Linked DNA regions of Drosophila melanogaster. Changing the gene in region 4 together with the main gene of any one other region gives a genetic interaction. Each region holds a gene or a part of one and is shown on either strand. Other genes may lie near its edges. The genes, in order: csw, PTP-ER, tor and Dsor1.

Evidence for each region.
Region 1: of Dsor1 (region 4) and csw, changing one suppresses a phenotype caused by changing the other (phenotypic suppression), as found in Drosophila melanogaster (2 studies listed by BioGRID).
Region 2: of Dsor1 (region 4) and PTP-ER, changing one suppresses a phenotype caused by changing the other (phenotypic suppression), as found in Drosophila melanogaster (2 studies listed by BioGRID).
Region 3: of Dsor1 (region 4) and tor, changing one suppresses a phenotype caused by changing the other (phenotypic suppression), as found in Drosophila melanogaster (2 studies listed by BioGRID).

The regions. Positions count from the first base shown.
Region 1 is NC_004354.4:2,099,923-2,106,791, forward strand, and holds the start of csw (corkscrew), read left to right. Parts: upstream 1-2,366; 5' UTR 2,367-3,224; coding exon 3,225-3,853; intron 3,854-6,869. UniProt on the Drosophila melanogaster protein: Required in all receptor tyrosine kinase signaling pathways. Functions downstream of the receptor tyrosine kinase torso, acting in concert with D-Raf via tailless.
Region 2 is NT_033778.4:21,618,821-21,628,425, forward strand, and holds PTP-ER (protein tyrosine phosphatase-ERK/Enhancer of Ras1), read right to left. Parts: upstream 5,627-9,605; 5' UTR 5,418-5,626; coding exon 2,511-5,417; intron 2,454-2,510; coding exon 1,227-2,453; 3' UTR 501-1,226; downstream 1-500. Other genes in the region: clt (cricklet), read right to left, coding at 1-42, 96-152; mahj (mahjong), read left to right, coding at 6,376-6,785, 6,845-6,995, 7,118-7,936, 7,996-8,268, 8,334-9,605.
Region 3 is NT_033778.4:7,703,304-7,711,897, reverse strand, and holds tor (torso), read left to right. Parts: upstream 1-2,713; 5' UTR 2,714-2,952; coding exon 2,953-3,105; intron 3,106-3,172; coding exon 3,173-3,403; intron 3,404-3,555; coding exon 3,556-3,793; intron 3,794-3,853; coding exon 3,854-3,936; intron 3,937-3,992; coding exon 3,993-4,161; intron 4,162-4,229; coding exon 4,230-4,535; intron 4,536-4,591; coding exon 4,592-4,927; intron 4,928-4,984; coding exon 4,985-5,156; intron 5,157-5,217; coding exon 5,218-5,716; intron 5,717-5,783; coding exon 5,784-5,878; intron 5,879-5,931; coding exon 5,932-6,054; intron 6,055-6,114; coding exon 6,115-6,252; intron 6,253-6,308; coding exon 6,309-6,482; intron 6,483-6,540; coding exon 6,541-6,595; 3' UTR 6,596-6,715; downstream 6,716-8,594. Other genes in the region: CG1941 (uncharacterized protein), read right to left, coding at 1-155, 222-421, 482-823, 918-1,049, 1,105-1,202, 1,254-1,382; CG34216 (uncharacterized protein), read left to right, coding at 6,961-7,971. UniProt on the Drosophila melanogaster protein: Probable receptor tyrosine kinase which is required for determination of anterior and posterior terminal structures in the embryo.
Region 4 is NC_004354.4:9,244,678-9,251,682, forward strand, and holds Dsor1 (downstream of raf1), read left to right. Parts: upstream 1-2,664; 5' UTR 2,665-3,121; coding exon 3,122-3,231; intron 3,232-3,864; coding exon 3,865-4,504; intron 4,505-4,697; coding exon 4,698-5,024; intron 5,025-5,095; coding exon 5,096-5,209; 3' UTR 5,210-5,360; downstream 5,361-7,005. Other genes in the region: Larp7 (La related protein 7), read left to right, coding at 1-1,046; amx (almondex), read right to left, coding at 1,530-2,384; CG17754 (uncharacterized protein), read left to right, coding at 6,093-6,352. UniProt on the Drosophila melanogaster protein: Required downstream of Raf in the sevenless (sev), torso (tor), and Drosophila EGF receptor homolog (DER) signal transduction pathways.

The DNA.
Region 1 (6,869 bases), 7.1 Mb from region 4:
GATGCAATAATCCTATAAAACTTTTTACACATTATTTCGGTGCTTGAGTTGGTGCCACGAATCCTGCATTGTCAGCAAACAGTATGATTTCTTGTTAACAAGCTGAGTTTTAGCTAAAAAAAAAAAAAAAAAAATGCAGCCCACGCCCACCGGCGGTGAATTTATGATTTGTAAATTATTTACAAATAATATAAGTAGTTCTCCTAATTGCCTCTTCCCGTCTATTTTTGATTTACCCCTTTCTGGGTGGGGTCGCAAAGTACTCATTTTAAAATTTACCATATAACCAAGCTCACAAATGCCCGGTATAATGGCCCATAAACTATACTCTCTGGCATTTGCCGCAAAACAGTTCTGTTGGTTTTTGGCTGATTTAGTGCGAACACGTCTGTACAGTGGTCCCCGCAGCGACCCACAATCGATTTGCGATTGCCAATTGGCTATTGGCTATCGGCTATTGGCTTTTGGCGACTGAATAACCCATTTCGAGGAGCTGTCGCCGCGCATTCGGTCCGGCACGCTTCACTTACGGATTGGGCTTTGGCTTCGGCTCCGCTGGCTGCCATCCCTGGGTCCCGAGACCAAATCTCAATCTCAATCCCAATTCGGAGTGGCGAACAATCAGTGGTCGGCACATATGTAGCTGTGTGCCTAGCATACTAACCATCCCCCGCCTCCGACTGAACAATAAATTATGTTTATTTCTGGCCCACTCCCCATCGCACCTACGAATGGTTTTGGCTGTGCCCAAATGCGGTCTGGGTCTCCAGCAACGAAATCGGGATAGCCAAGGTCGCGGAGCTCAGGAATGGAGCACTGGGGATACTGGGACTGGGCTGTCGCTCTGGCAACTGGTACCGATCAAGTTTATTTCTGGGTAGGGCGGCACTCACGGCACTCACTACTTCGCCGGAACTTTTAGTAATTCCATACGTAATGTAAACACGTTGGGTAGGCTATTGGTCAATGCCACTTCTAAATTGCGTTACCCGATCATTTCTAAGAACTTAAACTTGCGAATGGCCAATGTTGGCCTCGCTCTTAATTCTGTATCGATAGCAATCAGGTAGCTCAAATCATCTCTACTCACTTTTAATGCACTTCTCGTCTTGCATTTGCCATTGCAATGACTAATATTCTTAACCGACACCTAACTGCGCCCAGAAGCCCCATGTGGTTTCCACGGATCTGGTCCACCTGGCCTGGAACATCCTGTTTGCATTGATGCATGCATGCATAGCTACATGGGGTTTCCCCGACTGGTTTGAGCTGAGCATTTTCAATTTTGATCGAACACTTCGGAGACAATTTCCATTGAGTGGATTTTGAATGTGGTTTGGGTAACAAGTTCTAGTTGGTTTCCAGCGAAAAAACAATGACGAAATGTTGGAAAAAAAAAAAATAGTTCGTCATCGTTGGGAGGCATGAATACGAGGCTGGAAGTAAAGTGTTGCTAGATCGCAGTTCGCAGGCTGTCGCACGTCGAACGATTTTGTTTTGCTGGCCAAAAAAAAAAAAAAGATATTCTGCGCACGTTCGCACCTCTGACGTCTGCGCCTGCGCTGTAAGAGAGCTTTGGCACTGCTCGCTTCTAGCTCCCACTTACCCAACTACCAACCTGCCCACCTGCCCACCAACCCACCTGCCCCCCAGCAAACCCAGTTCCTTGCCTAGATGGCCGCCACAGTAGTTGCTGTGCGGCTTCAGTTTCATTTCCGGTGGCAGGCAACGGACGGCGCTAAAAGCGCTTTTTGTATTTGCTTTCTTACAAGCCAACAACACACTCATATCACGAAATGACCATTTTCGGATTGGAATTAATCTTATGTGCCTGCTTTTCGAAATGTGTATGATTCGGATTCTGATTGCGATGAACTCCATGACTCATCCAGGAGTACAGTCATTACGAAATAAACATAGAGTGGAGCCCGCTATACATATTTATAGGTATTAGCCTGGCTCTAGCACTTAATTGAAAGTAAATGAAAAGTAAAAGTGTAATTTTTTACAATGTTGATTGCAATTCAAAGTGCTTTCGCTTTCTGAATAAACCGTAAGTGGCGTCCACAGGATGGCTACAATTAAGTGGCGCCCGCTGAGGGGCCCAAGCAGTTTGATGATACTGAAACAGGAGCCCAGGGGAAAGCTGTGCACACACCCACTGCCAATCAATTTCAAAGTTACGTCTTTCGCTCCGTTTTATTTACTGTGTTTTTTTTTGTATTTGTTTGTGACTTCTGGCTCGCTGACAGTAAATAAAGCCCATAAATAAAAACACCCACCCACGAGATCGACAGGAAGGGCTAACCAGAGCGCCGGCTGGATTTAAAAACAAAAAGCGCCGTCCGCAGCCAGTCAAGATTCAGATTCATTCATACCCCAGCGCTTAGAACACCACCAGGCCACAGCTCCCGTCCGAGAGATATAGCCACTAAGAGAGAGCGGAAGAATCGAATCGCAAAGAGAGGAGCCGCGCTGAGACAACGTCAAGAATCCGATTTCGATTCCGATTGCGATTTCGAATCCGAGGCAAAAAGCTTCAGACTCGGCAGCAGGCGCTTCATTCTCGAGTTGTGATCCAACGGGTTAGCAGCTCAGCTCGCAAGCAGTCGCCGTTCGTCGTCGAGCGGCAAGCAGTTCGTTTCATTTCTACTGGGCGCCAGTACAAGTTCCATCGAGTGTTTTTGTTATTCGAAGGCAAAGCGCGAAAATTATGCCTTCAGCCACATTTGTCCTGGAGCATTTGATGGCGGCACAATCGCGACTCGACGAGCAGGCCGCATCCCCAGCAGAGGTCAAACCCACCAGCACCATCAACAGCAGCAGCACCACCGTGGCCAAGGCCATCAATGTCAAGTCGTACGAAAAGAAGCTGTTGCTGGCTCTCAAGAAGATTGTGCAATAATAAACGAATGCGGGGTAAACAGCACTCTATTTGACAAACTGTAGACATTTCCCCTAATCGAGCTGACTAAGATCAATAAAAAGCAAACAGAGAAGCACAACAAACAGCGGCAAAAAACAAAAACCAAGAATTCTAGTTTTTGTGCTTTCAGTGTGTGTTCGTGTGTGTGGGCAAGTTGTTACATAAAACAAAAACAATAACAAAATAAAAAAAAAATAATAAAAAAACACCCCAGCCGAGACGCATTTTTCCGCAGTGGAATACTACTATCTAAGCTTCTTTTTGTTTTGGTGTGTGCGAGAAAACGAGTGTGAAGAAAATGCTGTTCAACAAATGTCTGGAAAAGTTGTCCAGCTCGCTGGGCAATGTGGTCAATCACAAGCTGCAAGAGAAACAAGTCTACAACAACAACAATATCAACAATAACAATAACAATACGCTAAACAACAACAATGCCTACAACAATCAGCGAAACTTTGAGTACGAAAGAGCCATACAGGCGCACTACGGAAGCAAGGGAAGACGCTCGGAGGAGCGCGAAAGGAGCGGCAAGTTCAAGGCCAGCAAGGGTCGGAAAGCAAAGGTCACCCCACCAACGGAGACACCCGAGGCCCAGGAGCCGGCCTGCAAGAACTGTATGACCCACGACGAGCTGGCCCAGATCATAAAGGGCGTGGCCAAGGGCGCTGACGCGCAACGTAATCGAGACAACCGACTGCAGCGCAGACGTCGTCCTCTCTCCGCCCAACCCTCCGCCGCTGCCTCCGCCTCCACATCGACGGAATCTCTGCACCGTCTTACACCCAGCCCGCAGGCTTCCTACCCGGCCACGCCCACCTCCTGGACAGCCACACCGCCCCAGTTCCCAGCCGCCTTCGGCGGCGCCAGCTGCTCCAACAGCACACTGTCCCTCTTGGCCACCATGCGCGTCCAGCTCCATGGTTACACGTAAGTTCAGGTCGCCCAAAAAAAACGACAGCAGTCCAGTCCAGAGTGTTAGAAAAAGAGCAGCGTTCTGCTAATTTGGGGCGCGTGCGAAATTAGGCACTAATTGTTATTGGAGTGCGAGTAATGAAGTTGTCAGGCTGCCAACTAAACGATACCCCGTAGCAGGTGAAATGGTATTTTGAGCTACCATCGCATCGTAGTATGTCGCCCCGCCTGTCAGTCACATGTCGCGGAGTAGCAGATGATTCGCGGGAAATCTGGAGACAATCTGCTGCCCATCAACATTAACCCTAATAAGGCAGGCAATCACAGGCAGTTGACGCCGCAACAAAGCAAAAAAAAAAAAAAATCAGCGCAGCACATACTGTCATGTGTTCAGAATTGCCACGCAAAATGAGTAAATATTTACGCAAAGCATTCGACTCGAAAACAAGCAATCGTAAATTGACGTTCTAATATGAATGAATTTCCGACTGTCAAATGCCGAAGTGAAGTGAAGGGAGTGGAATGGCAAATGGCAGGGGGCCCAGCTCAGATCGCCACTCAAATATGGTCACATATCAACATATCAACCCCCCCCACACAATTGGCCCGTTGTCAAGTTGTGTTTCGATATTGGTTCTTTCATTTAGAGCTGAAGATTGAGTTATTGGTTAGGCACTGGCTAAATTACGCACTTGTAGAACCGGGAGAGTTCGGCGAATTGCCCACTGCAGACATCGTATCTTGGCCCACTGCCAGATCGGAATTATCTCTTCACTCGCGCCCGGAATGTTTACCCATGTCCCGCTGTTGCGCTGTCCGTCGTCCACATTCCCCAAAGATTCCATCCCACTCCGTGTCTGATCTTGGTGTTTATCTGCCCGGCTGTGCCATGTGCCGTCCGATTGTTTGTGTGGGCTGGCCCCATCTTGGCGATCTCGATTCGCACAGTACACCCAGAAAACAATCGCATATGTATCTGCTGGACTATTATTATGTCCCATAAATTATCTTTGACTTTTAGTTGAGCTCGGATTGGTAGTGCAGTCGGTTTCGGTTGTTGCTTATTTATTTATTTTGATTTTTATCGCAACGGATTCATAATCGCTGAACGTGTTGATTGGCTCGTTAACTTGATCTTTGTTTTTCTAATTTATGCTCAGCTTTTATAGGTATCCTGCTTTAGGGCGATCTTTTCGTCGTTATCCTAAAACGCACATCATGCCAAATGATCTGAAGATGATGTGCCAATAGCTTTGACAGCTTAAGCTGCGTGATTTCCGGATTTCACTTGTCACACTCACTAGGTCAACAATGGGGCACCGCCGTCCTCTGCCCTCCGCCTTGTAGAACTATTAACCTTCCGATGGTTTTTCTTCTCGCCATAAGGCTGATTAACGATTTATGAAATTACATTTCCCGTAATGGATTTCGAGCGCTGCCTTCTGTTTTGCATATTTCCGTTTATTTGTCCGTTGCACAACCGTGAGCTGTGGCTACTGATCAAATAAAAGCGTTTAATTTGTGCAAATTCATAACGTCGGCCGACTACAAGATGCTCTCAGTGGAAAGGCCCAATTATGGGGGGGAGGGCTTTGTTCTGGGGTTGTAACTCCATGGAAATTTTACAATTCTATCCCAGACTCTCCCCAACTAGTACTTTTCCCCGTCCAGTTCTCCAACTTGACATATCGTTTATATGCTTATTTTAACAGTTTGAACTGTTCAAAAAATATTATGTTTTGAATAGACTGTACTACTACTTCACACACTGCTTGCGAGTGGGCGGTTAGGGTAGGGGCAAGCAGCTCATTCGATAATTCAATAAGTATCTTGCCGACTTTTGAGTTAATTAATTGAAGGCCTCGTTCCCCTGCTTCCGCGCTCCACCTCGTAACCCCAATACCAGTCGTTTCGCTGCCGCCTTTCCAGGTGCGTTGCCACACGAAAAGCAAAATAAACCTGTGACAAACGAAACGACTAAAACACTGAGGGGGGGATTTGTATATGTATTCGGATATTGTGTACGAATACGCTGCACATATTCGTGTGTGCATGTAAATCTGTTTGTTGACCTTAGCGGCGCTTTCATGAATGGCGCGCAGCTTCCTCCGTATGGTAAATACAAATACGCCACATTCGCATTCGCTGCTGTAAGTGTAACTGTAAATGATGCAAAAAGGTGCAAAATTTTCACTGACGTACTCGGGTGATGGTAATTCCATCTGCTTGTATTTTTAACCCCCAGTCTGCCCGATTTAAATCGCTGAGTGAGAGCGCAACAGAAGTAATTTGTGTTGCTTTGTATTATCGTCACAGTGCTAAATTTAAAGATAAACACCGAAATATGGGTGGAGACGGAGACACAGTTTGGCAGCACCGCAGTTCGGCAGAATGACACAAAGGATATCAGCGATATGATCGATGTGGGCTGCGATAATTGCTAAGTTCAACTCGATTGCACGGGGTCAGACGGCAGAGGGCGATGCGTCCACGAATCCGAATCATTTTAACTACGGCGATCGCAAACAAGCGATCGGCCAACAATACGCAAATGTGCTAATAGATGTGGTCCGAAAACTGTGAATTGTCTTATGCAAATAACTCGGGAACCTTTCCATACGCAAATCGTGTGTGTGTGTGTGTGTTGAATCATCCGAAAGAATGCGCAGTTCGTATTTACGAATATCGGAAATCGGAATCATTTTTCCAGAAATTCTAACTTTTGCCTAAATGAAGATAGAGTAAAAACTGAGGTTGGGATGCTATCGATTTGGTGCAAGCAGTGCACAGTTTCCGTCTACGTGAAAGCAAGCAGTGCATATAGACCTGCTTGTAATAGATTTATAACTTCCGTTTTGCTAAAAATAAACCCATCAAACTCATTCTTATCACTCGCAACCGATCGGCTTCGCATTTGGCCACCTTGAATCTGTAACAAGCTAGCAAAGCAGAGCGAACGAGCGAGTGAGCGAGAGGGCCAATGTGGAGAGTGAGAGATGGTGAGCGAGACGGGCGGGACAGCATGAAATGC
Region 2 (9,605 bases), on a different chromosome or scaffold from region 4:
TTGCCGGCCCACCAAAACGCCTTGTTTCACTGGCACTTTCACCTACAAACAAGTAATTGAACAATTTTGTTGCGATTTGGAAGCGCACTCATTACCTTCATGCTGCTGCAAAACCTGGTAAAGATTAGTCTTCCACACGGACGAAGAAGCATTGTGAAATCAGCCCGTTACGGGTTTCCTTAACAATCTAATCGGCAATTATTCGGCAATCTCAAAACCTGAATCTGAAACACTGAACTTTGTTCGTCGAAATCAGCTGTTTGAGGCGCTTAACCCTTAGCTGGTGCTGCATGAGTGATTTTCGACGTCAATTAGTTCAAGTTGTAAATAGAAAATATAAACATTTAATTTACTTTAACTTAAAGCTCTAATTAAAAGATGTAATTTTGAGTACTGGAGAATTTCTTGTTAATGTCAAAAAAGTAACTCATCGCAATTTCCCTTTACTTAAAAACGTTAAGAACAACAAAATAAAACTGCCAACTTTACACATTAAGGTTACATTTAAAATGTTTCTAATTTTTATTTGACTAGTTCCATTGCATAAACTTAAATACATGTTCATTTATGGGTTTCCATTTTACTTATCGAATTTTTATCTTGTGTTTTAAATGAACTCGTGTCCGTATTTTGGTCCACGTCCGGCGGTCGAGCTGTCCGCTTGGGATTGGAGAAATTGGTGTTTAGTCAGAAGGACCCAGGGAAGGATCCAACTTGAGAAAGGTTTGAGCTTTCTCCGCCTCCAAGCAGGATGCACAACTCACCGAGGGGCGTCGACGAACGTCGCGAGTCATATATAGATGCGCATCTTTATGGTAAGGTATGGTTTTGGTAAGGTAAGGTAGGGTATAATAATTGTTAATTAACTTTAGTTTAAGCATAGTTCACACCAAAAGTCGGAAACATTTACACTTATGTACACATTTAACACACATACATCCAACACTTAATAAACATTTATATATATGTAGAATATGTGGTAATAGTAATATTTAGAAAACATTGAAAGCATTCCGTCAATCCTCCTTCGGAGAATGCCATCATATTCCATTTTCGAGACTCTTTTAGCCATGGTTTCTTGTTTTACTTGTTGCTTGTCCGTCGCGGTTGCTTTCATTAAAATAAGGGCCACAAAAATTGTGATTACAAATAGTAAATTGGTGTTTTGTTCTTCATCTCCATCGTTTTGTCGTCAAAAAGTTGTTGATCATGGTTTTCGCTCGCTTTTAAAATCGCCTCAACGCCAGTGTGCGTTTCAGGTAGAGGCAAATGGCCCGATGGATGAGCTCATACTGCTCCGAGTTCTGGACCATCCCGCCCCGCTGCAGGCGAAGATTGCAAACGATGCCCAGGACGTCCACGAAAATGTCCGGCATCTTGGGCAGACGGTCAAAGGATGGCGGCGTCTTAACCGCCTCCGCATCGCGATGATCCAGAATGTGGCTGATGTGCCGGATGGTGTTGCAAGTAAAACTGCTGTCGCTGTCCGTTGGGTTATGGTACTCCTCTGTCGAGCTGCTGGTCAGCGATTTGGTGAGCATTCCTGTCAGCGAGTAGGCCAACGACTGCCGCAACTGGCGCACTGCATTCAGGATGGCCGTGAAGCAACCGGTGCGCCCAATTCCAGCCGAGCAGTGGATGACGGGAAGGGGCTGGACTGCATTGAAGATGTCCTGCTGGTAGATCTCCAGCCGCTGAGCAGCCAGGTGGGCATTCCTCTCGCTCCTGGTGTCATCGTAGATGTCAAACTCCGACTCACACTTTCCAAGGTTGAGTACATGCAAGCAGGTGTCCAGCAGCGTGTTGATGTCCCGAGGCGAGTGATGATCCGGCCAGTCGGGATACCAATAGTGGTAGCAGTAGATTTTCTGCAGGTGGTAGCTAGCACTCTGTGGCACACGAATGCAATAGAGCAGCACCAGCTTTCTCACCGAGTAACCATTTCTTCGCACAATGCCGACGTTTTTAATGAGGAAGAAGCTTCCCTGGGCGGGCAAAGCCTCCAGCAGATCCCCTTCCAGCGTCACCTTCACCGACTCCACGCCTATGTGCCGGCCACTTATCTCATAGTCGATCGCATCCGAGGAAGCCACCACAGTGTCCGGCACAAAGGTGGGCGTTAAATACCGATCGAAGTAATCCCGGGCAGCCGCACTCAGCTGAAACACTTCACACTTGGCGGCCACCGCGAAGATCTCATTCAATTCGATGGGGAAGTAGACGGCGCACTTCTGCCGGTTCGCTTCCGTGAAGTTTGTGAGCATGACAATCTTCTGGAAGTACTGCTGCAGGATTTGCTCCCTGTCAACGTGAGGACTGCTGCTGCTGCCTCCATCCACGCACCGTCTTATGTAGCGCTGCGTGTTCTGGTATATCATAAGCCAGAACTCGAAGATTGTATTGGGCAGTGGACCCTGCGTGGCCACATAGCACTTCGACACGTAGTCGGGTCCCTGAAATGAAGGAAATATATACATTACTTTCATTGGATTTGCGCTTAGTTCCATTACCTTGATGTAATTGGCATTAATGTAGGGCAAGTCCTCGCTAGCGGTCACGGAGCTGGTCCGTTTTATTTCCCCCAGCAAGCTAGTCAGCTCGCTGGACTCGGATTCGAGTAGCACGCGAGAGTTCTCGTTTGGCAAGATAGTCTTGTAGCGATTTTTTGTCTGCGAGCCGAAGACCATTGGCTTCTCTTGGTGATTGAGCGGCAGGTCCCAGAACTCCTTGTGCAGATCCCGAAAGATTCTCTTTTGTTCGTTTTCTTTCAGTTCCGGTATTGGTTGCGCCATCCTACTAACCACTGTCTGGTAGGACGCGAGCAGTTCACTGTCCTCCGAGCTCGGGGGCACCATATCCGTGGGTGTCTCCACATCCCGTGCGTTGGAGCCCAGCACCGGCGGCTGCTCTATGATGTTCCTATTCGTCTGGTAGCTGTGATCGAACACGTAGTTCAGCCGGATAAGATCAAACTGATTAAGTGGATTGGAGGCGCTCTGCAGCATCTGTATGCTGGCCAAGTAGATCTTGAACTCCTCGCTAGTCGTTTGGGGCGACAGAGGACGGGTCATAATGTTGCGTACGGTGCCAGCGCAAGTGCACGTCGCGCCAATGGCCTGATCTTCCCTCACCGAATCCTGCTGAGGATTGGGTTGCAAGTCCGAGGCGGATCCGAAACATACCTGCCCGAAGAACTTTTGGCTATTGGCTTTACTGCTGTTCAAGTTCTCAGTGCTAAAGAATTTGCGCTGATGCGGGGCTTGGTTGGCGGCAGCACAACTGCAAACCGTGACTTTCGGTTGCACGATGTCCGTCATCTGGATCTCGGTACCTGCTGCTCCTCCCAGTATGCTGCCCATGTTGAGAGTGAGGCTTTGATTGGAGCCACGACGTTCTAAAAGTCCTCGTTTCGGAGTAGGTACATTGGATCCAGAGCCCGATCCCGAGCCGGTGGAATTGGTTCGCATATTGAGTCGGTTGTACTTTTCCGCACTTAACATTGCCTGTTGCTGTTGGAGCTGCTGCATGGAGTTTAGATCTCCACACGATGTTGTAGTGTGCCCCGTCTTCAGGGTGATACTGTGATTTGATCCCCGCCTCCTGAACAACCCCTGCCGACTACCCTGGCTGCTTCCCAGCAGATGTGACTGTGGCAATTGATCCGCTCGAATTTGGCTGGCGGTTCCCGCATCCAAATTGCAGCTGGACTTGGAGTTGAGTATTGAGCCCAGGCTATAGTTGGAATGACTTAGTCCACTGTTCATTAGGTTGCCACAAGAGCTGTGCAGGTTGAGCGTTAAACTGTGATTGGATCCCCGACGCTGAAGGAGATTCATCGATGATGTAGACACTGTGGTCTTTGCCTGGAGTGTCGGCATCGGCAAATCCATTGACTTCTGCTTGAAAGGCGATTCCTTAGGACCACCGCCAGAGGAGGAGAACTCCACCAGGGTAAGGCACTCGGGAAGCGTTTTTAAATTTGTGCTGGACGAGTGCAGTAACTGATTGTGCTTGTGGGCGCTTCTCGGCGCTAGGCTTGCGCCTATTCCAAACTTCGAGCCACCGTCCACGCTACAGGCGGACTTCAGTTCAAAGTCCCCCAAACTGGGGGTTAAACTGGCGTCCGAGTCCAAGGAGCTTTGTGTCGTGGAGCTGCAGTGTGTCGGTTGCACCTGATATGGGTTCTGCTTGCGGTGGTACATAAGCCAGTCAGTGGTGTTGATTCCTGGTGACTTTCTGCGCGGCGTTCGTCTTTGATTGGCCAAGCTTAGGTGACTATCCAGTCGCGAGAGCGATGTTGAGTGGATAGCGGATGCGGGCTGTTGAAGATGAAGGTGATGGTGGATAACACTTGTCGATGGCTGGCTCTGTCCTGTCTCCATGTCATCACAACTGCCATGAGATTCGGTTATGTTGTGCACCACGATTGACAGTTCCGATTCGTTGGCAGCCGAGTCCAGCGAGCGGGCCTTCTCCTTGGTGCTCTTGATAGTCGGTGTCTTGGGCTTGGGCAATGGTGATGGCTGGCTCGAGTTTTTTATGGGCACGTCCGTGATGCGAATGGTGAGATTATTTTTATTCTTGCGGTTCTTTCGCCCTTCCGATTTTTGTTGCTGCTGCTCCGGCGGCTCGGCCAACGCAGGACTACGATCCCGACGTGTAGCTTCCTCTAAACAGACTGTATCCATGGGCGCATCCTGCACGACATGATCGATCTCGGGGAAGCGAAAGAAGTTGCCGTTCTTGTAGCCGGCCGAGTTAATAATGTTCAGGGGTGAACCGGACACGTTTAGGTTGTTGATGGAGGATAGTAGTTTCGGGGAGTAGCTTAGGCGACTGGCCTCCAGTCCCGGCGTCGTGGAGGACTCATCCTTAAACAGGATGGTGGGTGAGTTGTGCTCGCTCTTCGACAAGTACAAGCTGTTCTCTAGGTCTTGGTCGACTGACCCGCCCTTGGGCATAGTGTTCTCCTTGTCGATGCCACGGCCACTGACCCGCTCCTCGCCGCTGGAGGTATTAATATGCGGCGAGCAGGATCGGCGATCATACTGTGATAACCTCTTGAACTTGCGGCCTAAAGTGGGAGACTGTGAGCTGGATGGATGGTGGACGTGGGCTGCTGGATGGGGGCTGGTAATGGTGAACTGCCGGGGGGTGAAGACCTCCTCCTCCTGATCCTCGTGCTCGGGAAAGCCCGGAACCCCGCCCCCAACCTCCACCGTGGGCGACGGAAACTCGAAGGACGTCTGCAGGTACTCGAGGGGCGTAAAGTAGGGTGTACTCTTGTTGCTCTCCGCATCCTCGCCAGCTTCAAGTGGGGTCGTGTCGGAGGGGGCGGCGTGGGTGGGACGGGGGGTCTGTGGGTAGGGGTACTCAATGGGTGCATTCTCCTTGTTGTTGTTTCGTAGCTTGTCCATGATACACACACACAATTGCTGAAGCGGGGCGATCGCAGCGCAGTCGCTCCGCCCGTTTAGTGTCTTGTCCTCACTCGATCGGCATTATAACTATCTCGCCCGCACAGTTAGCACTTCCGAATTGGACGCAAATCATGGGGAAAAGAGCGTTTTCTTTTCACAACATTTTCAGAGCTAAAGCATGGAGGGCTACCAGACCGCGTATGTAATCGATCCGGCAATGCCTTCATTGCTTACCGTGCTGCCAGGCCGCAGACTAACTGCACCAAGACCTGGCAACGTTGTACCTAATTTAACCGCATTTTTCAAGTGTCTTTTAAAATAAAAAGAAAGAATAGGTTAACAGATCTAGTGTTTACATCAAGGAGTTGCAGAATTTGTAATGCAGATGTTGTACACGGGCGATAGTTAATTCAATCGATCAACTGAGATGGTATCAGACAATTATATTTTGCATGCATCCAGAAAAATTGTTGTAAAAGATCACAGACTTAGTTCTAAATAGTATTTCAACCTACCTGTATTTTTGTTTATGAAATCACTACAAAGTTGTGAACAATTTAGAAGCAACAACGTAGTGTTCCTATTACCACCGTTCCGTTTACCTCACAGTTGCACGTTGCTCTTTGGCACGCTTTTATCTGTGCATTTGCTTGGAAATAATTAATTGAGTTAGGCATTTAAATCCTTTTGTGTACTTTAGACTTATTTAAAGACCTTTTAGATTGGTTTAATTTGCCGAAAGACGAAAACAAACAAATTTGTGCGACAGCTGACTTCATTATTTCAACGACAATAGCAAAAGGCCACACTAATTTTGCGAAAAGCGCGTGGTATTTAATACCTTATTTATTTGCTTTATTTCGCCATTAGAAGTAAGTTTCGCTGTGTCGAAAATCTAGCAAAGAAAGCCACTGGATCAAGACCTAGTGCATCCAAAACCCAGTAATTCATTTCGATGTCTGAGGGCAGCGGAAGCGAGAATGCGGCCGCAGCAGAGGCTGCGGCCGAGGCAGAGGCCGCGACTGAAGCGGCACTGATGGCTGAAGCTGTGGCTGTGGCCTACCAGAGCGACGAGGAGGAGCAGCCAGAAGCCGAGGATATGCCGGAGCAGGCTGGCGATAACCAGGAAGAGGACGCCGCTGAACAACAGGATGGGGGGGAACCAGAGGCCGACGAAGACGCTGATGCTGACGACGCCATGAGCGTGGAAAATGCGGAAAACGAAAGCGATAGCGGTGGAAACGCCGAGGAAACCGCTGCCGCCGACCGTCGCCAAGCCACCAAGAAGGAGCTCACCCAGATTATCGACAAGTGGGAGCAACAGCAGACCCAAAATGGATACGATCCAGTGCCCACTCTCAGGAGGTAAGCGTGCTTCAAAATCATTAACGCATGGGTCCAACTTAATACCTTTACTATCGCAGCCTTGCGGAGATCTTTGAGCGTGAGAAGGACGTGTATCGGCGCAAGGATCCGGATCCCTTGGACTCACGACATCCATATAGAGCCGATCCCAGCTGCCAGTACGGATTGCTACTCAAGCTGCTCTTTCGGAAGGATACCTTCATGGGCAAAGTAAGAATAAAGTCATGTGATTTTTATTTTTCTAAAAAGCAATGTAAATGTTTTCTTAAAATCAGGTGTTTTAGAATTTCCAAAACATAAGCTAACTAAAGTGAAATATTTTATTTAACTAGCTCCTCAACGATTACCTGCGAGAGAACTATTTCAGTCGCCAGAATGTCAGTCGCAGTTCTCTAGAACTAAACATCTTGGCCTGCCGCCTCATTCTGGAGATAATGCCAGGAATGGAGACCTCTGCAGTATTTCAGACCGCCGAAGGCGATGGAACCATCAATCGCATCTACTCTTGGGCAGAGGACAGCATTGAACCGCTTCAGAGCTATGCCACCGGGCTTTTAGCCGAAGCGATGGAAGTGAGCGACATAGCCATAAACTTTCGCGATCTTAATATTCGATTGGTGCCAAAGATGATCAAGCGTCTGCACATGCTCCTGGCGATCAGCAAGAGCGCCACTTCAGATGTCAATACGTCGATGCACAATCTGTCGGCTGACAGCAGCACGGCGGGCATGCTTAGCTGGGTGGCCTGCGCCAGTAATGCATCGGCTCCTCAATCGCCGCAGCACAATGGCAGTGGGCTGGGAGCAAGTTCCTCGCAGCATGGAGACGCCTCTAATATGTCCATTCTGTTCGAGAACAGCAGAGATGCCTTTTCCGTATCTCGCTATTACAAACGGATGTACATTCCTTTGCACCCGGCCACAGCAGATACCAGCCAAATGTTAATCATGCGCTTCCTGACCAGCCTGGGCGAATATCAAGAGTTCCTAGCCATGGCTTTCGAAAACAATGTGATGCAGCTAATTTTTGGCTACCTGGAGAACTTGGATCGCCGGGACACCTGCTTGGCCTACGAAGTTTTGAAGTATCTGGCTTCCCTTCTTTGCCACAAGAAGTTTGCTTTAGAGTTCATTTCACACGGTGGACTGGAGGTCAGTAAATGGTCTTGTAGAGGGAATGTAATTATTTTTAACTTTACTATTTTTTACAGCTTTTGTTAAAAGTGCCCCGCCCCAGTTTGGCGACTACTGGTGTGTCCATCGCCATCTACTACTTAGCATACTGTGAAGACGCCATGGAACGCATATGCAGTATGCAAAGACCACTTATTTCAGAACTAGTTCGCTACGCGCTTTGGATTCTGGGTCGTTGCCACGACTCCTCAAAGTGCCATGCCACCATGTTCTTCAGTCTGAGCTTCCAATTTAAGGTCATATTGGATGAGTTTGATGCTCAGGATGGTTTAAGAAAGCTGTACAATGTCGTAAGTAAATGGTTTAAACGAAAGAAGTTCGATTAAAGTCAATTACCTTAACTTCTTCCTAATAGATTTCCGTACTAAAAATTCTTGATCCGAGCCACAACGACAGCGATAATGACTCTGATTTCAACGAAGACGTAGAATGTGCTTCCCGACAAATGGTGCGCCACGTCTGCGTAGCCCTCAAGCGCTATATGGAGGCGCACTTCTTCTACAAGTACAACAGCTTTCTGTGCCAAACAAATGCGGCATCCCCGGCACCGTCATCAGCCCACTATTTCAATCAGAATCCCACGGTTGCTGCCAAACTGACCTTTGACCAATTGAACGACCAGATTCGCACGCTCCAGGAGCACACTTCTATCCGGGCGCACTGGCAACCCGTGGATCAGCTAATGAAGCTTGGTGGAATCACCATGCTACTCAGGATCATCGCCTTCAGTTACGATTGGGTGAACAGTGGACGCTCCGAGACGGTGCGCTCGGCTCTGGACGTGCTCAGCGTATGCTGTATTATCCCAAGAGTTTATGTTGTGCTCTGCGAGCGCCTGCTGATGCTAGACAAGACAACTACCTCCGGATTTTGCTCGGTTCTGGGCGCTGCTGCAGGAGAGATTAGCTCGGATGCAGAGGTTATCAAATCGGCGTTAGCGGTGCTGTGCCATTGTGTTTGCTCTCCGATCATTCGCAAGGACAGCGGCACCAGCCTGATTAAGTTTGGAACGTCCTCCAGGAAGAACAAGGCCAACCATAAGTACGCCGAAGAGCTGATTGAACGTGTGTGGGAGTCCGTGTGCTCCAACAATGGCATTGTGGTCTTGCTATCGCTGATGCAGACCAAAGGACCCATTACGGATGCGGACTGTATACGTGGAATGGCCTGTAGGGCCTTGGCGGGACTTGCTCGCTCCGATCGGGTCAGGCAGATCGTCAGCAAGCTTCCACTCTTTGCCAGCGGACAACTCCAGACGCTGATGCGGGATCCCATACTCCAGGAGAAGCGCGCGGAACATGTAATCTTCCAAAAGTACGCATTGGAGTTGCTAGAACGAGTGTCGGGTAAGACGAAACCGCTAAATAATCCTTTGGATCCATCGCTGTCCAACATGCACAAGGCCAATGTAATCGCCCAGACACGCATCCAGTATAACAAGCAGCAGCTGTATCAGCTTATCTTCGAGCACCTGGAAAGCAACGGTCTCTCCCAGACAGCCCAAATGCTGCAACGGGAGGTGGGTCTTCCGCTACAGACTCCCACTACGCGCAGTTTTCATCAATCACCTTTCGACTACAAAAGTCTTCCCAGTGGTAGTAGCTCGCTGTCTAGAAATCGTCTGCGA
Region 3 (8,594 bases), on a different chromosome or scaffold from region 4:
GTGTATAATCAGCTTGTCCTGCTTGGAGTTCGGTATGTACTGATCCTTGTACTTGGCGAACATCTTCTCCAGGTCGTCAATAACCTGTTTGTGTATCTTATCCACATAGGCTGCGTCTGGTTGATCGCTCTGAACCACGTCGATGGGAGCGCCAACTGAAATTTTTTAAAGTTTATTTGAATCTTACAACTATGCGACATTTGAATGAGCTGAGGACTCACCAACTTGGACAATGCGTCGACGGTTGGGCAGAAAGCCAAAGGAGTAGTTGAAGATGCCCCGGCCAACGGGAATCAGCGGAGATATCCCCGTTATCCTCTTTACAAAGTCTTGAAAGCGACGAACCCGAGAGTTCGGTGGATTGGCAACCTGATCCAGAATGTCCACCTCGCCAAAGGAAAACGTGGGAACAATCGAAGACCTAAAATGAAGACCGGATACAATTAAAAATAACTTTTAGTTGTATCCGATTTCAACCTACCCTGTCCTAATGGCCATTTTAACGAATCCCTTGCGGTTCTTCAGTGTCAATATATATTTGCCAGGGTGCGAGTCTAGTGCCTCCTGGGCACCACCCACCAGAATAGCCACCGCGTTGGAGGTGAACCCATCACGATTGTCCTTGTGCTTGGGATCGTTTGATTTGGTTAGCAGATATACTAAGGCCTCCTTGGAAACCGACACCAGGCCCCAAGATCTCAGGAGACCACGCACGATGGGCGTCAGGAAGTTTTGATCCAAAGTGGCCACCTTGGGCCTCACCTGTGGGAACAGTTGCAGCCACTTGGAGATGTCTAGACCCATATTAATGGAAATGCCAGTCCTATCAGGGTTACAATATGTGCGTAAGAAGGTATACAAATGTTTCGTCACCTAAGCAACCATCGATAAGATTGACTATCAGTCAACAAGCTTACCCCAAAATTCCGTGCGGAAAACTGGCCAAAATGTAGTTCTTATTCGGCGGCAGCTCTGCGGTCTTGACCAGCTGTACGGGAAAGTAGTCCCGATAATGCCGAAACAGCCAATTGTTGCGGTTAATTTTCCAGCTAAAATGGATTATTTTAGCTTTAAGTGTTCTTATAGGGACTTCATGACGCCTACCCATTGCCATCCATAATGGAGTGGGTTCTCTTGTGATTCGCGTAGACGTAGACCAAATAGATGACCATAATGGTGCGCCACAAAAGGCTTCCATAGAACTGGAAGGGAATGCTTTACTTTTCAAAATATTGAAGCACTGATGTATTTACCAGCACGGCAGCAACGAAGAAATAGGATCCAAAGGAGAGTATCATAAAGGATAGGATTAGGAAGGCCATGGCAAACGTCTGGCGACGCCGTTCCATGGGAACTCCTTTGGGAGCCCACTCGATTTTCATGATGTCAGAGCTCTCGAACTCGGAAAGTTGAACTACTTGGTAGCACGGTCCTCCGGCGACTGAAAAATGGAAATGTTCAATGTTTAGTTACCATTTCTTATCCTTATCAGTATCCGTCGGTGGCGCGAGTGCGTGGCTATTGGTTAGAGTTGTTAAAAAAATACCTTCGATTTAATGGCTATTCGCTTGGGGTGTTTAAAAATTCGAGCAATCAAGATAATGACTTGCTCTATATGGACGTCTGGCTAGAATGCCGATATGATATTATATGATATGATCTTATCATTGCCAACAACAGCCGGCTTTAACGTTTGTCCGATACTTGTGATCACATATATATAATTATTGTTTTGAAATTTCAATTGCAACTGGTTTGAATGCCTTTAGAAAGAGAACGAAACTGCTGTTGCACGACAACCTCCTCACTTTAATTGAATGGTGATAAAACTAACTGGGAGTTACTCGTATTGCTTTTGATCCGATCCGCTTTGGCCTAGTATCACAGGCTAATTATTTTAAACTTGTAGAGCTTTAATAAACTAGACGCTCCCATAGAAATTTATTATTAATGTTTACACACGTAATGGATCGTTATCGCGTTTGAGCAGCAGAACCGACGATGCGAGCGTACAACATTTAACTAAACTTGCGAGTGGCACTGAATGCTCGAGTTTCCCATGTGAGTGTTTCGAGTACTCGAATGCGATGCAACAATTGAGTCACCAATGTAATCGAGCGTTCTATACGAATAACCTGAATCAGAGGCAACTGAGGTCATGTGCATTTGCAAGTCGCTATAAGGAAATACCTGTATTGTCAGCTCTGTTCCAATTGAAATGGAATCAGGGAAAGTGTGATCACGCAAAAGCTACAATGTGGGCGAAATTAGCATAGTTGTTTTTTGGTTAATTTCGAATATTGGCGCCCAACATGGTTTCTAGGGATGGAAGCGACCAGCACTGCATTCTGATTTATCGGTTTGCTGCAATACAAGCTCTTTTGGCGCAACAGATCATAGAAGATTGAAATACAAACGTTGTTGGTGGTATCACAAATGAAAATTGCGAAGAGTTATCTGAAGTCAATGTTCTATGCTTATCCCAAGCCCTGGCGCTACTATGACGGAGTAGCGATCCAAATTTTTGCATTTCAAATGACCCCTAGTCCAATCCCATCCATACGATCAAGTACAATACGATGCAGTGAAGAGGTGAAAAACAAATCAAAACAAAATAGCGCAAAATATATTCAACGAGTCCGCCGCTTCTCATCATTCCTCCTTCTTCGTCGCTTTTTTACCATCGCATTTTTGGCCTCAGTTTCTCAGTTCTTTCTCAGTTCAGCAAGATAATCCGAGAAGGACGGATGGTATTGATCTCGAAAGTTGGAATCTAGAAACTAAGTATTCGAATTTGCTGTGTGTGTTATTGAGTTTTGTATCAAAGTGCGTGGTGGCAAAAGTGCAATAAACTTTAAGTCGGTTTTAAACAAATACACATTTCATTCCAACACACACACACCGACACACAACGAAGAACTAAAGAAGGGTTTCAAAAGCAGAACAAGGAAAATGCTTATTTTCTACGCGAAGTACGCATTTATCTTCTGGTTTTTCGTGGGAAGCAATCAAGGTGAAATGTTGCTAATGGACAAAATCTCTCACGATAAGACGCTTCTCAACGTCACCGCTTGCACCCAGAATTGTCTGGAAAAGGGCCAGATGGTATGTTTACACCCTTAGAATGTTGGAACACTCCATAACCAAAAGTGCATGCTTCTTTTCTCGACAGGATTTCCGAAGCTGTTTAAAGGACTGCAGGATTAATGGAACATTTCCCGGGGCTCTGCGCAAGGTGCAGGAAAACTACCAGATGAACATGATCTGCCGCACGGAGTCGGAAATCGTTTTCCAAATAGATTGGGTGCAGCACAGCAGGGGAACCGAGCCGGCTCCAAATGCCACCTACATAATCCGGGTGGATGCTGTCAAGGACGACAACAAAGAAACTGCGCTTTACCTGGTCAGATATTAGATGTAAACTCATTACTATTTACTTTAAAATACCATTTTATTTGATGAATTTCTAGAAAAAGATGTACTATGTAGTCATCAAGACCTAATGTTTCGTTTTACAAGTGGATCGCTCTTTTTCATCGACTTATTCGCTTGCAGTCTGATGACAACTTTCTCATCCTGCCGGGATTGGAGTCCAACTCTACCCACAACATCACCGCCCTGGCGATGCACGGAGATGGCAGCTACTCCTTGATAGCAAAGGACCAGACCTTCGCCACCCTCATCCGAGGCTATCAGCCCAGCAAAATGGGAGCGGTGAATCTGCTGCGGTTTGTCCCCCAACCAGACGACCTGCATCACATTGCTGCCGAAATCGAGTGGAAGCCATCGGCGGGTAAGTAGCTCCATCAGTTTAATCAATCAACGATCTACGAACCCTACTTTCATATTCCAGAGAGCAACTGCTATTTCGACATGGTGTCGTATTCAACCAACAGCGTGAATATGGACGAGCCACTGGAGGTGCAGTTCCGGGATGTGAGTATGCCATGACGCCCCTGCAATGCTAGAGCATAGCTAATCTTTTACTGCAGCGCAAAAAGCTGTACAGGCACACGGTGGACAACTTGGAGTTTGACAAACAGTATCACGTTGGCGTAAGAACGGTGAACATAATGAATCGACTGGAGAGCGATCTGCAGTGGCTGCCAATCGCTGTTCCAAGCTGCTTGGATTGGTATCCCTATAACTACACACTCTGCCGTAGGTTCCTCGAAAGTCCTATATAATAATAATATTAATAATAATAATATTGTTCCACCCTTTCATAGCACCCCATAAGCCAGAGAATCTTACTGTGACCCAGAAGCAGTATCTGCCAAATATTTTGGCCCTGAACATCACCTGGGCGCGTCCCAGATACCTGCCGGATAACTATACACTTCACATCTTTGATCTATTCAAAGGAGGTACGGAGCTAAACTATACACTTGACCAAAACAGGAGCCACTTCTATGTACCCAAGATCACGGTACTGGGTTCCCATTTCGAAGTACATTTGGTGGCCCAGTCGGCAGGCGGAAAAAACGTATCCGGTTTGACGTTGGACAAGGTTCATCGAGGTGTGTTGCTGAGCGGTACGTACGCTGAAGGAAATTAAATATTTAGACATCCATTTCCATCCATTGAACAGAGGGCAACATGGTCAAGTTGGTACTCTTTATTATCGTGCCCATATGCTGCATTTTGATGCTGTGCTCCCTGACGTTCTGCAGACGAAATCGTTCGGAGGTTCAGGCGCTGCAAATGGACGCTAAGGACGCGAAGGCCAGTGAATTTCATCTCTCCCTGATGGACAGCAGTGGCCTGCTGGTCACCCTCTCGGCCAACGAGAGTCTGGAAGTAATGGACGAGCTGGAGGTGGAGCCACACTCGGTGCTCCTTCAGGATGTCCTCGGCGAAGGAGCCTTTGGCTTGGTGCGACGTGGAGTTTACAAGAAACGCCAAGTGGCCGTCAAGTTGCTGAAAGGTTGTACCATTTGGTATTGAAGTTCTTGAATAATTCATGGAATTTTTGTTCTCACAGATGAACCAAACGACGAGGACGTATATGCGTTCAAGTGCGAAATTCAGATGCTCAAGGCCGTGGGCAAGCATCCAAATATTGTGGGTATCGTGGGATACTCCACTCGTTTTAGCAACCAGATGATGTTGCTAATTGAATACTGCAGCCTTGGAAGCCTGCAGAACTTTTTACGGTAAGTTATTTTTATACATATTGGAAAACAAGTGATGTATAGTAAAAAATGTATTACTTAGTGAGGAGTGGAAGTTCAGGCAGGAGCAAAATGCAATTGGACTTAAGAAGAACCTTGAACAGAACGTGGACAACCGACGGTTTAACCGACTCCCTAGAAATTCCATCCATGATCGCATAGAGGATATCAACAACTCGATGCTGTCCACTGTGGAAGAGGAGAGTGAATCGGATCAGACACACTCAAGTCGATGTGAGACCTACACCCTCACTCGAATAACCAATGCAGCCGACAACAAGGGCTATGGCCTGGAGGACATTGAAAACATCGGTGGGAGTTACATTCCCAAAACCGCTGAAGCTCCAAAGGATCGGCCAAAACGGAAGCTGAAGCCGCAGCCCAAGAAAGACTCGAAGCAGGATTTCAAATCGGACAACAAGAAGCGAATCTTTGAGAACAAGGAATACTTTGATTGCCTCGACTCATCGGATACCAAGCCCCGAATACCACTGAAATATGCAGATTTGCTAGACATCGCCCAACAGGTGGCGGTGGGAATGGTAGCCTACATCTACTCTATCCCTAAATGTAATTAAAAAGTGTAGCATGTATCATTTGCCATTTTAGGAATTTCTGGCCCAAAACAAAGTAGTGCATAGGGATCTGGCTGCCCGGAATGTTCTAATCTCCGTAGATCGCAGCATCAAGATAGCAGATTTTGGGTGGGTATCTCTGAAAGTTCAATGATTAGTTATATTGTGTTTTTTTTTTTAAGGCTGAGTCGAGATGTGTATCATGAGAACGTGTACCGAAAGTCCGGAGGAAGTGGCAAGCTGCCCATCAAGTGGCTCGCGCTGGAGTCCCTCACCCACCAGGTGTACACCAGTCAGAGCGATGTGTAAGTATATATTTTTGTTAAGTCCGAAGCGATTTTGTGGCTGATATCTTACCCTCTTAGTTGGTCCTTTGGTGTGCTGCTCTATGAGATCACCACTCTCGGTGGAATGCCATATCCGTCGGTGTCTCCCAGTGATCTCTTGCAGCTACTGCGACAAGGTCATCGGATGAAGCGACCGGAGGGATGTACGCAAGAAATGTGGGTATCAGTGCTTAGCGAAGTACATAATTGTTGATCACATTTGCTTAACTCAGGTTTTCCCTGATGGAAAGCTGCTGGAGCTCCGTGCCATCACACAGGCCAACATTTTCCGCCCTTAAACACAGACTTGGTGGCATGATTTTGGCCACTAACGATGTTCCAGAAAGGCTGAAACAACTGCAAGCTGCAACCGAGTCAAAATTAAAGTCATGTGACGGTCTAAACAGGTAAGTAATCTTTAAAAAGACAATTGTATACGTTACTTTCTTACCTTTTACAATTTAGTAAAGTGGAGCAAGTGCCATGCGAGGAAGAGCTATACCTAGAACCTTTGAATTAATAGTCATTGCTTCAAGATTATAATGAACGAGTGCAATACATTCTAAATTCGAGTTCCAATTCAGACAATGCTATGCGCCAGATAACCTTGCATAGCAATAAACATTAAAGCTAGCCTAAGAAAAATTTAATTTCTTTTTTATAAGAAAAACCAAGATATTTATAGAGTAAACTTCTAGCAGTGCCCTTTATGTCTCATAGAAACCGACCATTTCAAAATGTTTGTGCCTCCTTGCGGCTTAGGTTTCGAAAGAAGGTCGTTTATTTGGACCCCAATCAGCATCATTTTTGAAAATTCCAAATTGAAAGTCGGTCCAAGCTGGCTTGTTTACAGTGTTTCAATTCTACTTCTGGCCACCTCGATCGATGTGCATCCACTGCTGTCGCCTCCGCCGGACACCATGTCCACCGATTCCCTACAGCTGTCCACACTGCCCGGTGCGCACCATCTCCAGCTGCTGTCCACTGGGCAGTCGGCCCCTCGCCGAGAATCCTTTCATAAGAGGTCCGGATCGGGAGCCAACCCCCGATCCCTGCGACACCTTGCCACCGCGCTGGCTGGACCTCAATCGACGGGTCATATTTGCCTTGGCAAAAAGATTATGTCGATCTCCAGAGGCAGCTCATTATATTTTGCTTCGCCTGTTGTATGCCAACTATAGAAAAGTGATGATGATATCCAGAAAACGAAGGAGATACAAGGTGCCACTAAGTGGGTTTCCCGATCAGGATTTGTTCTCCGCCAGCGCACATTTCGATAGCAATGGTTACCTCTCCGATCCCATGGCTCCCGAAACTCTGGGAAAGCTACTCCACATGATGCAGGACTACATCCTTCGGCTGAGAGCGCTGAATCGCAAGTACAAGTGGTGTGGCAACGGCGAGGACTTTGGAGATGTATTGCTCCTATTGGGAGAGCAAGACGAACTGGTACGATTGTTAAGAGATCTCTTTGGAGACAGCGATGTTGTGTCCATTCCAAAGCTCCTGAGCGCCCTTAGCGAGCTGGAAATCAATAATTTATACGGAAAGTACAAGAAGAAAACAGTTCCCTTTATGGTGAGAAGTATATCTGATCTCTACTCCGAAGTGACGGAACCAAAGAGTCCAGTTTTGATATCATTAGCGCACATAGCCAACAAAGGAGTTTCCCCTTATGGACCGAGCCACTTGAAAAACATCTTGAATTTCAGTCCAAAGTCCTTGCCTATGATGGGTAAACACCCACCGCCTAAAAGAAGTAAAAGTGAAAAATGCATTCCAACATCAAAAACGAATTTAACCCAAGCAGTACAAAATACCCAAAAAAAATCGAATTTCAAGGAACCAGCAGACAGTACTGGGATTTTAAGTCCAACTTCCAAGAACTTACAATAAGATATCACAGCAAAGCCACTTCAACCAAACCAAAGGAACCTTCTATGAACCCTTTGACGCCCAGAAGAACTCCATCTGGAGTTCCTCCACCACGCAGACTCACATCGATTAATGACGAATGGTCGGATTGCGGGTCTATTACTATAAAAATCTGGATGACCAACTGAGGTGATCTACGCAATCCTATCATGGCAGTACCCAGCATTATGATCTTAACAGCAGTACACAGGAAATCTTTAGGCAACTCAACGCAGTCAAGCAATGAATATGGCAGCTTAACCAAGATGTTTTTATTGGAGCAGTTGTCCGATCCGTTGGTTGAGCTGGAAAAACGGGTGGACTTATTCCTATCGTATCTTCTATGAATGACGAAACAAACCTATGATTCAACTTAAACGAAATAAAGAAACGAAAAAAAAGCACGTCAGCTTGTTTAACCTTTATTATATTTACCTAAGCCTTAAGTAAACCTTAAATTTCCGTGAGCTGTATCTATGCAAAATCACTTAAGCGTTTCAACTGCAAGTTTGAGGGCACGAAGGTCATGCGCTTGATTAGTCAGCGATTGGACAGAGCCAACTATTCAGAAAATTGGCAACGTTAATAGGAAACACTAATAAGGA
Region 4 (7,005 bases):
AACAGGTTGAGTTGCCAAAGCGAAATCTAAAAAGGGAGGCCACCGACAAGGATCGCGAGGAGATACACGAGGTGAAACGGGTTAAGTTGGAGGAGGGCCAGCCTAGCGAGACCTCTACAGCTGGGGAAACAGCGAGTGAAACGGATGCAGAGGGCACAGCCGAAGCCTCCGAGCAGGAGGACAAAACAGAGGCAACCGATGGCGATGAAGCTGCCAAAAAGCGCCGTCGCAAGCGCAAGAAGAAGGCGATCGTGGACAAGCCAAACATTGAGCCCAGTGCCCTGGAGCTCAAGGTGCTACCCAAGACTAGTTGGAGCAGTATGCGCAATAAGTACTTGAATCTACAGCGTCGCATCGTCAGTGAGGCAAAGAGCAAGCTGTGGCGAGAAAATCACCCACAAAATCAGCAGCACCCTCACCACCAGCAGACCAGTCATCCAAACCATCCGAAACCTTCACAGCTGCCCGAGGCAGTTAAAGAGGAGGAAACCGGAGGCGAGGTCCCTAGCGATGGCGGTGAAGGTGCCGTAGAAGCAGCGCCTGTGCCAGCCAAGCGTCGCAAGGCGGTGCACAAGATGAACATGAATTTCTACGGCGCCGGCGGCGTGGAATCCACCAAATCCGAAGAACCTTCGCAGGAACGCACGCCGCTCTTTAAATACGAGCCCGGGCTGATTGTGGAGTGCTCCCTGCTAAAACCATGCACCAATGTTAAAGAATTTAAGGCTGAAATGCGCCAATATCCGGATATTAAATATGTGGATATTAAGGAGGGCGACCAAGTGGCCCTACTACGTTTGGGCACGCCTGCCGCAGCCGAGGAACTGCTACGCCAGGTCAACTGCTCCGAGAGGCAGCTGAAAGTGCTCTCTGGCCAGCAGGAGACGCTCTATTGGCGAAAAATCGAGCAGGATCGCGAGGCGAAACTCTCGAAAAAGGTGCGCGTGCAGCAAAAACGCGGTCGCGAGAAAGTGGGCAAAATGCTGGGCAAGCACATTAAGTTTGATGATGGCGATGATGAAGTGCAGGCGGCCGCCATGGACTGAGTCACTTTCAGTTGAGGGGTGAGTTTGGATTTCATTTCAGGAAACTCTATAATATAAGCTATATAAATTTATAAATGTAAGCAAAAGATACATTTAGATCTAGCACAAGATTTCGTAATATTAGAGTAATATTGTAAAAACAAATTGAATTTTTAAAAAAGAAACTTCCTAGTGAAATTGAAATAAATCTTCTGAATGAAACAAACCATTTATTTTTACAAATTTGTCTGATCTTACAGGAACGAGAAAGAGATGGTTATATTTTCTCTTTCACTTATTTATTGATACGATCAAAGAATTGTGCTAGATAAAAGATACAAAAAAGAACTTTTGGCATTATTAATAAAATACATTTCCTAATTAATTATGTACACGTTTTTGAGAAGATCTTGCTATTCCTAATGGTTGCATATTTGCATTCGTTATTATGTACACTGTAATGGAAAAGTTAGCTTATGACCTATTAACCCCTGTAAAACTAAACTATATGTAAAGTGAGCCATCCGCTGGCCCCAAATAATGCATCGAGATGAGCAGGACATCGATGATGGTCCAGACGCCGAGGCCGCCAAAGCTGAACAGCTTTCCAATCCCTTCCTGCCAGTGGCCCAAGTAGAATCGATCGGCTCCAAAGCCCCCTAGCGTGAGGCTAATCAGCAGGGCTGTGCTCCACCGATAGCCCTGCGTCCAGTTGCATCGCAGGTTGCGGGTAAAGGATCGATTGCCGAGGCAGAGCACATCATGGTGCACGGTGCAGTTGGTACGGAATAGCTTATCCGTCGCCGAGTTGCAACTGGAGCGCTGGCCACAGCTCTGTTGCCACATTTCCGTTTGGTAGCAGTATCGGCAATTCATTTGTCGCTGGAAACTCCGTTCGCCCAGGCACTGGACATTGTTGATCACCTCGCAGGTTACATTCAAGTCCCGGCCGTAGATGCATCCATGATTGTAGTTGCAACGGATGCAGGGAAACTGCAGGCGATCACAGGGCGTTTCCTTATCGTACGGGCATAGCATGTTGTTGTTCCCATTGCTGCTACTGCTACTGCTGCTGCTGCTGTAGGCGGTTATGTTGTCCAGGAGTCCACCGGCACCTCCTCCACTCTTGGCCACCATGCTGGACACCAGGGGCGGCACATACACCTCGTTATCGTTGGCATTTCCATTGCCATTGCTCGCATTGCTGTTATCCTTGTGATCGCCTTTTGAGTCCGATAAGTCCATCTGGTTGCCACCGCTGGCCGTTTCGCTGTTCCTGATCCCCGTCAGCACGAAGATCATGATCAGGACAATGGCCGATCGCATGTTGACCACAATGCACTGTCGTTGGAGCCTCATTTTGGTCAGATAGAGCGGGGAATACGCCGGAAATGTTATTGTTTTTCCCTTTAAGAAAATGAGTGGGGTGGGAGAGTGTGACCGTATACGCGTGGCATGAAAATATCAACCGCGAATGCTCAGGAGAAATTTCTTTAAAAAGCGTATCGAATAGTTTATAGATATGTTTTGGCTCAATTAAATTGGCTAAACAGATAAGTATACCTCTCCCCTCATCGTAACAAATTAGTAATATCTAATCCTAATATCCTTTCCATTTAAGTTGTGACCATTGGCCGCTTTAGTCGTAGGAGTGTATTAACGGTATTTGGTAATCGCGACATCTGGCCATACCGCACCGTCTGCGAAAAAAACCCAAAAGTCGCCGATTTTGGCTGATTATTGCAAAAATAATATTAACTATCCGTTTGCTGTTCGTGTGCTCGGTTCGGGTGTGTTAAAGTTAAGCGCAACGCGAGGAATTGGTGCAAATTTACCAGCGGCTGGACACACAAAACGAAACATTCGCACTTGGCCTCCCTTCGCACGCCCCCTCGCCGACGCCCCTCGCCCCTCACACCCTTCAGCCGTTCGTCGGACGCCGCTGTTCGTAGTGCGTTTTGTTGTTGTTTCCACTGGAACACTCTCTATTTGTATTGTTTCATTTATTAGTTTTTTTTTGTTGTTGTTATTGTTGTGTGCTTTAACTTATCGGTAACGGATAACGGTATCGAGAGATATATATTATATATAGTAAGATGTCGAAGAACAAGCTGAATCTGGTGCTGCCGCCGGTAAATACGGAGGCAACTGTTGCCGCCGCCACAGTGGCGCCGACGCCGCCATTCAAAACCCCCTCGGGCACAGAGTAAATATTATACATAATATCCTTAATAACTGACTGGTTTTTAGGCCACCCATTCCAATAACACCGCATCCCCCCTCCCTCGCTGTTTCCCCTTCCACTCCTCGTTTTCGGTTTCCTACTCAGTGGTAAGATAATCCTGTAGTTTTGCGAGTTAGGTGGGTAATTAATATCCATCAATTGATCCAAGGAAATCCCATCCAGCTGGAAAGAAAGAGACAGTCGGAGTGAAAGAGCAGGTACTCTCTCTTTGTTTGTTGGTGTGGGTGGTGCTCCTTTCGTGTGACGCACAGGTACACAGCGAGAAAAAACTTACTGAGTAAATACAGTAAACTGTTTTAGTGCTTTTTGGATTAATTAACGGGATGACAAAGTCAGTTTCGAAGATAAATAGAAATTATAATTTAATAGTCCTACCTTTATCGTATATTTTTTTGTGAGCACCAAAATGTAGGCAACATAACATAACACAATACATATGTAATTTGATGTGTATGTTTGTGTAGTTTTCTTATTATTAGGAGAAACTTCGGCCCGCCCCTCATCCCATCCCCCACTTTCAAATCCCATCCATTGCTTGCACTTTTTACATTTTCGTTTTGGATCGCAAAAATTCATTAAGAGGTTAAATTAAAGCACACACAGTTTGCTGGGGAAGCCCAAGACGAGCATCGATGCGCTGACAGAGACGCTGGAGGGTCTGGACATGGGCGACACGGAACGCAAGCGGATCAAGATGTTCCTCAGCCAGAAGGAGAAGATCGGCGAGCTGTCCGACGAGGATCTGGAGAAGCTGGGCGAGCTCGGATCGGGCAATGGCGGCGTGGTGATGAAGGTCCGGCACACGCACACACACCTGATCATGGCCAGGAAACTGATCCATCTGGAGGTGAAGCCGGCGATCAAGAAACAGATCCTGCGCGAACTGAAAGTCCTGCACGAATGTAATTTCCCGCACATTGTCGGTTTCTACGGCGCCTTCTACAGCGACGGCGAGATCAGTATCTGCATGGAGTATATGGACGGTGGATCACTTGACCTGATCCTCAAGCGGGCCGGTCGAATACCAGAGTCCATTCTCGGCAGGATCACGCTGGCGGTGCTCAAGGGCTTGAGCTATCTGCGCGACAATCACGCCATCATCCACCGTGACGTGAAGCCGAGCAATATCCTCGTCAATAGCAGCGGCGAGATCAAGATCTGTGATTTCGGCGTCTCCGGTCAACTGATCGACTCGATGGCCAACTCCTTTGTGGGCACCCGTAGCTATATGTCGGTAAGTAACTGGATAGCTAATCAAAATCTATACTTAGGTGTATTAAACAACGGAAGGTCGATGAAATCGGCGAAAGTATTTAAAAAAGAACATTGCAATAGCAAAACAAGGCACTCATCTATGCACAGATGTTAAATATAGCCAACTATAAGAGATCTATATAACTCACATGCTAATGTCCTCTTTGTTTCAGCCGGAGCGATTGCAGGGCACCCACTACTCCGTGCAGTCGGACATCTGGTCGTTGGGTCTGTCGCTGGTGGAGATGGCCATCGGCATGTACCCCATCCCGCCGCCAAACACCGCCACCCTGGAGTCGATATTCGCCGACAATGCGGAGGAGAGCGGCCAGCCGACGGACGAGCCCAGGGCAATGGCCATCTTCGAGCTGCTGGATTATATTGTAAACGAACCGCCGCCCAAGCTAGAGCACAAGATCTTCTCCACCGAGTTCAAGGACTTCGTGGACATCTGCCTGAAGAAACAGCCCGACGAGCGGGCAGATCTCAAGACCCTGCTGGTAAGCAAACGAAACGTCGCCATTTCTTCAGTTATATATATATTCAAGTTGTTTTATGTATTCTTCGGCAGAGTCATCCGTGGATACGCAAGGCGGAATTGGAGGAGGTGGATATATCCGGCTGGGTGTGCAAGACAATGGACCTGCCGCCATCGACGCCAAAGCGTAATACGTCGCCCAACTAGACGCCTCTGCGTTCCGGCCCCCATTTTCTCTATCCTCCCATATCCACACTTGCTCTTTGTTCAATAGAGCGTTGACGCTGGGCAAAAACAACTGAACTATTATTATTATTATTATTAAATCGAAAATAAAGAAATCGAAGTCATACCATGTATGATGGGGTGTTCTTATTATTTGCATTGGAGGATTATCTTTAATTTTAAAATAATGCATAAAATTATAATGTGTTATTGCTAATCTTGCAAAAGGTTGAATACATAAGCGAATTAATTGTATCTCAATTAAATTTTGTCATTTTTATTCAGACTTCACTCCATTGTATGAAATACATTAATTCAAAAAAAAAAAAAAAAAGTATTTGCCGATCTAAATGGGAATCCCCTCAAAAAAATATATATTTCAAACAAAATATACTGAAGGTATTTTTGGATGTGCGTGTATTTTGGTCACACTGTGAGAAAATAAATAAATCAATTCAGTGTGGCCAGAGTGTGTCACAACAGCTGTGGAATTTGTATATAAACACATAAACTAAACGCATACACGGGCGCTCGTGCAGCTTGATACAGTTACAGTTACAGATCCAGCACGCAATTCGCGGCCAATTGAAACGATTCAAAGATCGCGAGTGGAATAGATCGGAGGCGACACCAACACACCAACACAACAGCACACAGACGTACGCGCACTGTGGCAAGAGGCAGCGTTCTTTGTTGCAAATTACCGTTGCATCCACCTTTCAGCGCCACCCCCTCCATCGGCCTCACCGATTCGCGATCCACGATCCGCCTTCTGCCAACCGCCGCCAGCCAGTTGCTTCCAGCCAGTGATCCGATGCAGACGTTTCGCTGAAAAGGAGCGCACAGCCAGAACAGAAGAAGAACCATGTCGGCGGTGAACCAGAAGGAGAGTCCCAGCCGGGACTCGACGGCCTCCACATCCGGGCACATATCGATGCTGGCTGACAACACATTGGAATCGCTGTCGCGGGACTACAGCCTGGGCAGCTTGAACTCGGCGGGCAGCCAGGATGAGTTCTTTCGCTGCCGAGACCATGCGGACAATATACTCAAACGGATGCAGCTCTACGTGGATAGCCAGCAGCTGTGCGATGTGGTCCTAATCGCTGGCATCGATGGAAAGAGGTGAGAGCACTGAATTCTGATCCTGGAACTACGATTCCTGGCGTTCCACATCACTGCGATCGATGTTGGAACGATGGTCGGCAAGCAGCGGGGATCGGGATCATGGAACTCCTAGTTTCCAATGCCAATTCCCCATACCCTTTCCACGGAGACAAAGGAATGGAATATGGCATTTCAAATTGGAAAGTTCATTAGCGATTCCCTCCCGCTTCCCCTTTATCCCGTCCACCACCTAACCCACCTCCGCCTTCCCCTCCTCCTGCCCCAGCTGACCTTCACTTGGGTTCTTTGTCTGCTCTCTTTGCTTTTTGTTGTTGTGGTTGTGTTGTGTTGTCCCCAACGCAATTTCAACAGCGCACACTCACACGCAAGATAGTAGCAACACGCAAAACCAGGAAATGCAGCTGCGGCCACAATAATAGCAACCAAGAAATGCAAATACAGCTGTTTTACAAATAATTGCAAGAAAAAAGAGTTTAACAAATCTGGTTTTCACTTTTGAGTGTATACTTAATTTCTATTTGCACAATTGCTCATTTTAGGTCGGCTTTAATTCACTTATCTCAGTGAGCATGCTGACGCACAAAGTTAGTTTAGTGAATTTTATTATTTTGACAGTAGCTGCATATCTACAGAATTAGCTGTGCATCTAT